2 linked regions of the Tribolium castaneum genome follow. The protein of the gene in region 2 interacts with the protein of the main gene of each other region in a pairwise test. Links are inferred from orthologs where the notes say so. Each region holds a gene or a part of one and is shown on either strand. Other genes may lie near its edges.

Region 1 (4,307 bases), about 2.5 Mb from region 2:
TTTATGTTTAAAGTTAAATGTCTTTTGAACAATCAGCAAAAGACACTTAACTGTTAGGTAATGCTTTTAGACAGACAATTTAAAGGTCTTTTAGATGCAAAAAAATAGGTTGTTTCATTTAAAATCAATAATTTATTCAACTTTCAAAAAAACCTCTTCATTTTTTATCTTTTTGATTACAGTAAGTTAAAAAATTAAACCCCTTAAATTTTAACTTTCTTTTTTAAAATGGTAAAAGTCATACTTTTCTAGATTCTTAGTTTTTATAAAAATATTTATTTAAAGCGTTTTTTCCTCAAAGAAAAAATTTAAAAACTAAGCAAAATCGAGCTGTATTCCATGTCAATTCATAAGTTCATAGTAGAATTTTGAAAATGGAGCACAAAATTGAAAGTTTCTGGTGAGTTTTCTTAGCTCAAAACGTGTTGCTGAAAATTATAGTTTAACACAGAATTCTTTTCTTTTACAGAAACTCTCAATTTGTGCTTTATTTTTCACTTTTCACTCCAAAAAATTCAAATGCTTTATTGCAACTCTACTATAAACTGAAATGTTGTGTGTTTCACACAACTTCACGAGTCCTGCGTCTAATGTATGCACCCAAATATACAAAAATCACAAAACACTAGATACGTTCAATTATACAATTTTTGGAAACCCATGACAGTAGTTATCAAACTAACCACTGTTTCATTAATTGTCATGAATTGTTGTTTTCAGGAACAATTTTCATGTGTTTTATCAAGAGAGGAAATGAATGTGATTTTACCCTATCTAACTCAAATAACTAACTAAAAACGTTGTAATTTTTAGAAGGGGTGAACAAACTAGAGAAAACTATCCAATTTAAAAAAAATTGTAATCGAGTTCGTACTGGAATATGTATTGTTGATTGTATTTTACAGGCGCAGGCCTCGTAAAACTACATCTAACACCCTGTATAACAATTTTGCTTAAAAACATCAGTTTGATATTTTGTCCGGTGTGAAAGTGGTTTGTGTTCAGATATCTTCGGAAATTGAAGGAACTGTCTTCACACAAGTAAACTATAGCTGGTCCGCTGCAACTTTGCCGTTTTCTGTACTTTGGCACTTATTTTATTTTTATTAATGTATTTATTCTCGTTTAAAATATTTACTTTATAGTAGTTTAAATTGTGTAAGTAACAAATCATTGTAAGAAAAGAGGTAACAAAGCTAGAATTGGGGTAGAGGTGTTGTTTGTTGTTTAAATTTGGCGCGCTGCGCGTCAAGGTCAGCGTGGGGCGCGCCCCCTGTCGCCATTTTCCGCAAAAGCTCCCCTGTGCGATTGTGATGTCTTCTGAAAATACCGTGGAGGGTGGGAGCAATAATTTTCTATGTGTGAAACTGTTGCAAATGGTGCTTCAACCCGACCACTGATGTGTAATAAAGTACTATGTCCAGTTTGAAAATCGGTGAGTGTTTGTTTGAGTGTGAAAAATGAATATCTTGTTTTGGTCCCACCCCCTGTAGCATCGGCCCCCGGCATGTAATCGTCTCTCATTGTTGTAGTGGTAGAAGCATGAATGTGGGCTAGCACTAGATAGTTGTGCTTGTGGTCATGTTGGAGACCAGATCTGTTCGGGGAATGCCAGAGCCTTCTTGGCAGTCTAAGAGTAATTTCGGCGCTAAATCGACCCCCCATGCGATGGCTGCACCAAACATACGACATGGTAGTCTGCCCCTGGATTTTCAAGGGGGCCTTTTGTGATTGTGGGGTGTTTTAGGCAAAACTGGGCAAGATGACATTTGCCATGTTGTGGCCAAGTACGATTACGCCGCACAGGGCCCCCAGGAGCTCGACCTCAGGAAGAACGAGCGCTATTTGCTCCTCGACGACTCCAAGCATTGGTGGAAAGTGCAGAATTCGAGAAATCAAGCCGGTTATGTGCCAAGCAACTATGTTAAGAAAGAGAAACCGTCACTTTTTGATAGTATCAAGAAAAAGGTAACGGTATGTGTATGGGGCTTTTATGGGGCTCTTAAATTTTTACGCTTTCCCACTGTTTACGCCAATCTTTAATTAGATAGCACATCAAATTTTAACACTAATGATTCGTTTCCAAGCTCTTGAATTAAGAAAACAAACAACTGGGTCAGAAACTACCGAAAGTTTTTTAATCAAGACGGCACTTGACTTGTTCAAGGCCAGAAATTGACTTGGCTATATATTTGACGGGAAGAGACAATATTAGGCGTAAAAATAATTAAACTTTTTATGTTGGCATTATGTAAATTACCCAAGGACAAGCGAGATAAGCGTGTGTCATCTCCAGAGATTTTTTCTAAAAAGGAAGCATAATCAAGCGTAAACATGAAATTATAAAGCCTTAATTAAACATTATTACGTTTTATTTTCAACTGATTATTGTTCAGGTAGTGTTTTGTGTAAATAATATTTTTTAAAATAGTGAATAACTAATGTCCGTTCCAAATTGGTGTGCTGTATTTAAATACTAACTTCCGTTGCTGGGTAACACCTGACATAATGTCAAATTTAAGCTAAATATTTTTTAAAATAAAGTCGATTTTATTGAAAAACAAGTGGAAACGTAATTTTCTTCGACTCTGATCTTTGATAGCCTAATATTTTTTATGTTGACGACATTGTTGTTGGAAGTAATTTGCCTTAATTTCACTATTTTCCTTATGAAAAACCTTAACTTTAAGAATTAACTTAACTTTCAAAGAAATTCTAAAAAATGTTATGTTATTTTGCCTTCGATTTAGTTTGTTTTTGAACCACAAAGACTTATGTTTTTTTATGTATTTACTGTGCAAGATTTCATTAAAAACGTGCCCAAAAAATACAAAATAAGTTTAAACTGATGTAATTTTGATGATAAACCGAAAAATTACCAAATAAAATCTAAAATGGTGTTAGTTTTAAGTTTTTCAAACATGTAAATGCTTTTTTGATACGAAAAACCCCAAAAATCATTAATTAAGTAGACTATTATCATTTTTCAGGTGGTATCGCGATTAGTTATGACTGTTAGTTAATTAAAAAATTACTTTATATTTTAATTTTCGAACCTATTATTACGTCTACAATCAAAAACATAGGTGTTTCACTTAGATTAAAATTTTTAAAGTGCTTTAGAAATATTTCAATAAAATACACAAAGAATCACATAATTATGTGGCATTTTTTTCCAATACAGCCAAAAAATTTCGAAAATGACAGTTACGATGTTTCGCTTGATTTAAGTTGGTGAGTAACAATTTTTTTAGTAAAACTTATTTAATTAATAAAATTAATAATTAGTAATAAATAAAATTATGATTACTTTCAATATACTTTTCTTGAACACATGTGTTATTTTCTATAAAAACACAAAATTATGTTAATTGTTATAATAATTTTTGCTGAATTTTTGAAACTTCCTGTTCCCTTAATATTAAAATTCTCTTAAACGTTCATGAGAAAATTGACACGGATAAGTTGATTTTGTAACAGTGTTTTGTTATCGCCATCAGATATGAAAACAACTCTAGTTAACGGGACGACAAAATGTAACTGAAGTTTAACATTACTAGAAATCTGAACTTAATTTTATTGTTTATTTGTAAAGAAGTATAAGGCGTAAAATAAACTGAGTGAAGCGTTACCGTAAATCCGTTATGAATTATGAAATGAAACATCAATCTAATTGGCCCGAGGGGCCGTTAACTTGAAAAAAAAAATGTGTACTTAGAGGTAATTCTAATTATCAAAAAAAAAAATTCACGGAAATTCAGTTTCCAAAAAAATTACCGAAATCACAATAATTCATCGTCAGAATTAATTAATTAATCAATTAATTCCTGTAATTCTAATTTAAAAGTTGTAATTCCAACATAATTTCTATAATTCTAAGAAATTGAACGTACCAAAGGTAATCTGGAATAATTCCAAAAAGAATTCCGTAACTCCGAAATAAATTATATAAATTCTAAAGATAATTTTAATAATTTAAAGTACATGATTGTAAGCAATTCCAATCGTATTTTAAAAATTTGCACAACTAACTCTACACGGCTTCTCGATGTGTTTCATAAAACAAAAACAGTTTGACGTAAGATTGTCTTTTTTTTACAAATGAGCAACCAAATAATTTTAAAAGTAATAAAACACTCGACACTTCTGTGTCTTATTTGGCAATTTTTTCTACACTCAAAAAGAAAGACATCTCTATTAACAATAGTGTGGCGTACATTAATAAAAAATAGTATGAGAAATCACATAGTAAAAAATGAAACGAAAGTAATAATTCCATTTAAAAATTAACCTACACGTAGGGCAGA
Region 2 (3,827 bases):
AAAGACTGGTCATAGAATTTATAGAGGAATAAAACCGAAAACAGGAACTACCCTGTAGCTACAAAAAATCGCATTTTCGATCAATCAAGCGCAAAAGCATAAAAAGAAGCTAGTGACAACGAAACGAAAAATCCCTACGCAGCGTTATTGTTGTGAAATTAGGCACACGTCTCCTGTCACTTATACGAACATCAGACCTCTATTAAATGCTTACGTCCCTAATAAAATACGACCCATATAACTAGAACTGCAAGCTAAAATAATAAAATATACGATTATGTTACATTATTGTTTTAAAAAAATCGAATGCATTTCTAGTAACATGGGAATATAGTCTCTCACGTATATATAATACAAAAGAAAATTGATAACGAACAGGACAAAAGCCTGAAACTTATCGCTAGTGTTGTTTTGCCGCTTCTTTCGCCGCCAAAATGAGCGGCGTCAGGCTGGCCAACGGTCGTGCCAACTTTAAGAAGGGATGCTAAAACAGGAATTAATTACTTCAAATCAGGGTTACCTCCAGGTGTTTTACTTTTAATAAATCGCGCGCCGACGCCCTTTTGTCGACTTCCACAGCCAAACATTGGTCTAGAAAATCTTGAAAGGAGGGCGACAACTTCTCCTTATCTTTAATATCGGGTTTGCCGTTGGTTGCAATCAAATACAGCGCCCTCAGCGGATTTTCGTTCAAATACGGCGGCTCACCTTCGATCATTTCGATCGCCATGATGCCCAACGACCACACATCGACCTGAAATCATCCACTTACGTTTGTACCTCTGTTGTTTGTAAAAGGGTAATAAAGCCATCAGTAATTAATTTTTGCGCAGTAAAAAACTAAAAGTGATCGGTATAATACAGGGTCCCAGACTTTTAGCTGACAGCTGACATTTAACTCAGTTAAAAGTTCCTATTAAGGTACTGAAGTTCCTATGACAAAAAATTGTGAGTTAAGTAAGTTAAGTGAGTTAAGTTTTTAGCTTATTAAATTATATTTTCTTGATTTAGTTAAAGGAAATTGCGGACCTTGCAATATTAAGCAGATACCTATTGAAAAAAATCAACATACTTATTTTATACAGAATACTACATTTACAAAATAGGCAACTTCGAAAATAAATAAATAAAACAACATGGGAAAGAAAAGAGCAACAAATGAGAAAAAAAAACAGAAAAATTGCTCTTGAAACAAAAATCTGATATAATTTTTATGCTTAGCTAAACCTCATACGTCGCCATTCGAAAGTTGGTCCGACACTTTTGAATCACTTTACACTCTGTATAATATTTTGCCCAGTAAAAATAATAAACGTTTAGTATCCAATACGCAACAGCAATGCGCCACTTGGCATTTTGAAGTAAGGTTAACTAGCGATACGGAGATGAGCTAGCAACTTGTGTTTTTTTATTTAAATTAAATTAGTCTAAAACTAAAGATTACTCAGATTTCAAATTTCAAATATAAATCACCCCTAACGCAAAAATAGACACATTTTTTTTTTCTTTCAAAGTTAGATAAGGATTTTCAACATCTTTCCGACATTTCAAAAATGTGAGGAGGCATTAAAAAATTTTATATAGCTAGGGACAACGGGATGAAACCTAAAATGTAACTAATGTTAGTTTTGAACTTCCCCTCGTAATATTAATGTTTTTCCTTGAAAATACTTACTCGTAAAATAAAAAGTTAATTTAACTTCATCTTTTAATTTATATTTATTGGTTTTTCAATTGGTATTCAAATTCGTTATTTTGGTCCTCAAATCCTTAATCCCAACCAAAAAAAAAACCTAAATATTAAATAAATGGACACTAACTAATATAGTAGTATAGTAATATAGTGTAAATGCTACTACGTGGTAATAAATTCAACTGTAGGTATATAATTGCGAAAGACTTTTTATCATTACCTCGAATTCTTTTTTTTTCCAAAATTTAAATAATTGCTTTTTTAAAGTTGTAACTTTAGAATACTACTTTGAAACTGGTGTGGACTTTTGGGCGTCTTCTATCACACTGTTTTTTTCGATTATTTTGAATTAGCGGGCTGTTTCAAATTTGTTGAGTTATAGTTTGTCCGATTTTCAACTTCATCTATTGAAATTATTACGTTTGCATTTTTCCGTGCTTAAGCTAAATATACCTAGACTTTTTATTGGTACCCACATTACAATATCTAAACAAGAAAGTTTACACATCCATTTTTTCTGACTTCACTCAATTCAGGAGCAATTTTTGAAGGCTCGAAGTAAATAAGTACTCACTAATTTCAATTTCATTGAACTATTTTATTCTTGATAGTAAAACAAAAAGAAAAATACGCAACAGTTTCACATATTTGTAGACTTTTGGCAGCTTAACTAATAAATAAAATGTCACGGTGCAGTTCGATTTTTTTAAGCTACATTTAAATCTGTAAGCCTAGCTTTGTGAAGCGTTATCCTGCAGTGACACCTTAGGGTTTACTTTTTTCACCTAAAGTTTCTTGTTTTTATCTAGCGTTTACTATTAGCGTTTAATTTTTTCCAATGTAAATTTATTTACTGTACATTTAATATTTTTACTGAACGAAAACATTTTACGTTTAAATAAAATCTCGTGCACTTAATTTGTGCCGTTTGTAAAATTACCTTAGGGCCGTATTGCTTCCGCGTGACGACTTCCGGCGCCATCCAATAAGGCGTCCCCACCATCGTCGTTCTTTTTGATTGTTCGGGACTTATTTGAGCACAGAAACCGAAATCAGCTGCAAAATAATTAGTTAGAAAGGAGAGGTTGGATATGGATTGGCGACGTACTTAATTTGACGGAGCCGTCAAGTCCGAGGAGAATATTGTCCGATTTAATGTCCCTATGGATGACTTGGTTTGAATGGAGAAAGTCGAGCGCTTGAAGGACTTCTCGACACACAGCCGCGATTTGACCCTCGTCCATGCACGTCTCCGTTACTACGTCAGTCAGTGAACCGCCTGGTAAATATTCCATCACAACCCAGAGTTCCTGGAATTCAACATCAACAATGGGTAGGAAAATAAAGCATTTTAAGCAGACAAAACCTAAAAATTATTTTCAATTTGTTCTGTAACTAAACTTATTTTTTTATTTTATAATTAAAATTATAAATTTATTCAAAACTGCCAACTAAAAACAGGGTTATTCAAATAAGACTGGTCTAGTAAAAATGCGACACAAAATAAATTTTATAAAGCTATCGGGATTCCTGTTATAATATCATGGTTAAATAATACATATGTATGTATTAGCTGTTTCAAAACTATATAGAAATGCCAACGTTCTTTAAAATGAATTTACAGTTCCAATAAGAGATCTAATCATTAATAACTATTTTACATTTTTATCAACCTTGTTTAAAAAAATAATTCGGTAAAATGCGACGTTGGCGTTTCTATAGTTGCTACGGTAATGTTTATCTGATTGGTGTTGCTGTTTTAACTGCGGTTTAAATTTAATCTCTCCATTAAATACGTTACCAGAAATTGGGCCTTAATTTTTTTTAAACTTTACAAAAAACAATATAATAACTTTATATTATTATGGATAATTTTTTTTTCGTTAAGCTCATTTTGATTTTACTTTTTAGGCAATGGTTTGTTAAACTGTTCATTAATTTATACGTTTTACAATTATATAATTAAAATACATTTATATAATTCTTTTAAATCTACGTTAAGCGAAGAAAAATACACCACTTACCTCGTTCACAAGATAACTGTCTAGATAATTCACTACATTTCCGTGTTTGTTTTCTCGCATGACTAGAATCTCATTGATAATCAGTTCTTTCTTAGGCTGTTGTGATAAAT

Evidence for each region.
Region 1: the proteins of Pak (region 2) and dock interact in a two-hybrid assay, tested with the Caenorhabditis elegans proteins (2 studies listed by BioGRID). The link is inferred for Tribolium castaneum from reciprocal best matches to the Caenorhabditis elegans genes pak-1 and nck-1.

The regions. Positions count from the first base shown.
Region 1 is NC_087398.1:11,591,532-11,595,838, forward strand, and holds the start of dock (SH2/SH3 adapter protein dreadlocks), read left to right. Parts: upstream 1-1,253; 5' UTR 1,254-1,416; coding exon of another isoform or gene 1,417-1,435; intron 1,436-1,493; 5' UTR 1,494-1,581; coding exon 1,582-1,693; intron 1,694-1,747; coding exon 1,748-1,974; intron 1,975-4,307.
Region 2 is NC_087398.1:14,076,213-14,080,039, reverse strand, and holds part of Pak (serine/threonine-protein kinase Pak), read right to left. Parts: coding exon 3,718-3,827; intron 3,004-3,717; coding exon 2,802-3,003; intron 2,750-2,801; coding exon 2,634-2,749; intron 755-2,633; coding exon 536-754; intron 485-535; coding exon 401-484; 3' UTR 1-400. UniProt on the Caenorhabditis elegans protein: Required for hypodermal cell fusion, together with cdc-42 and ced-10, leading to embryonic body elongation, which involves dramatic cytoskeletal reorganization.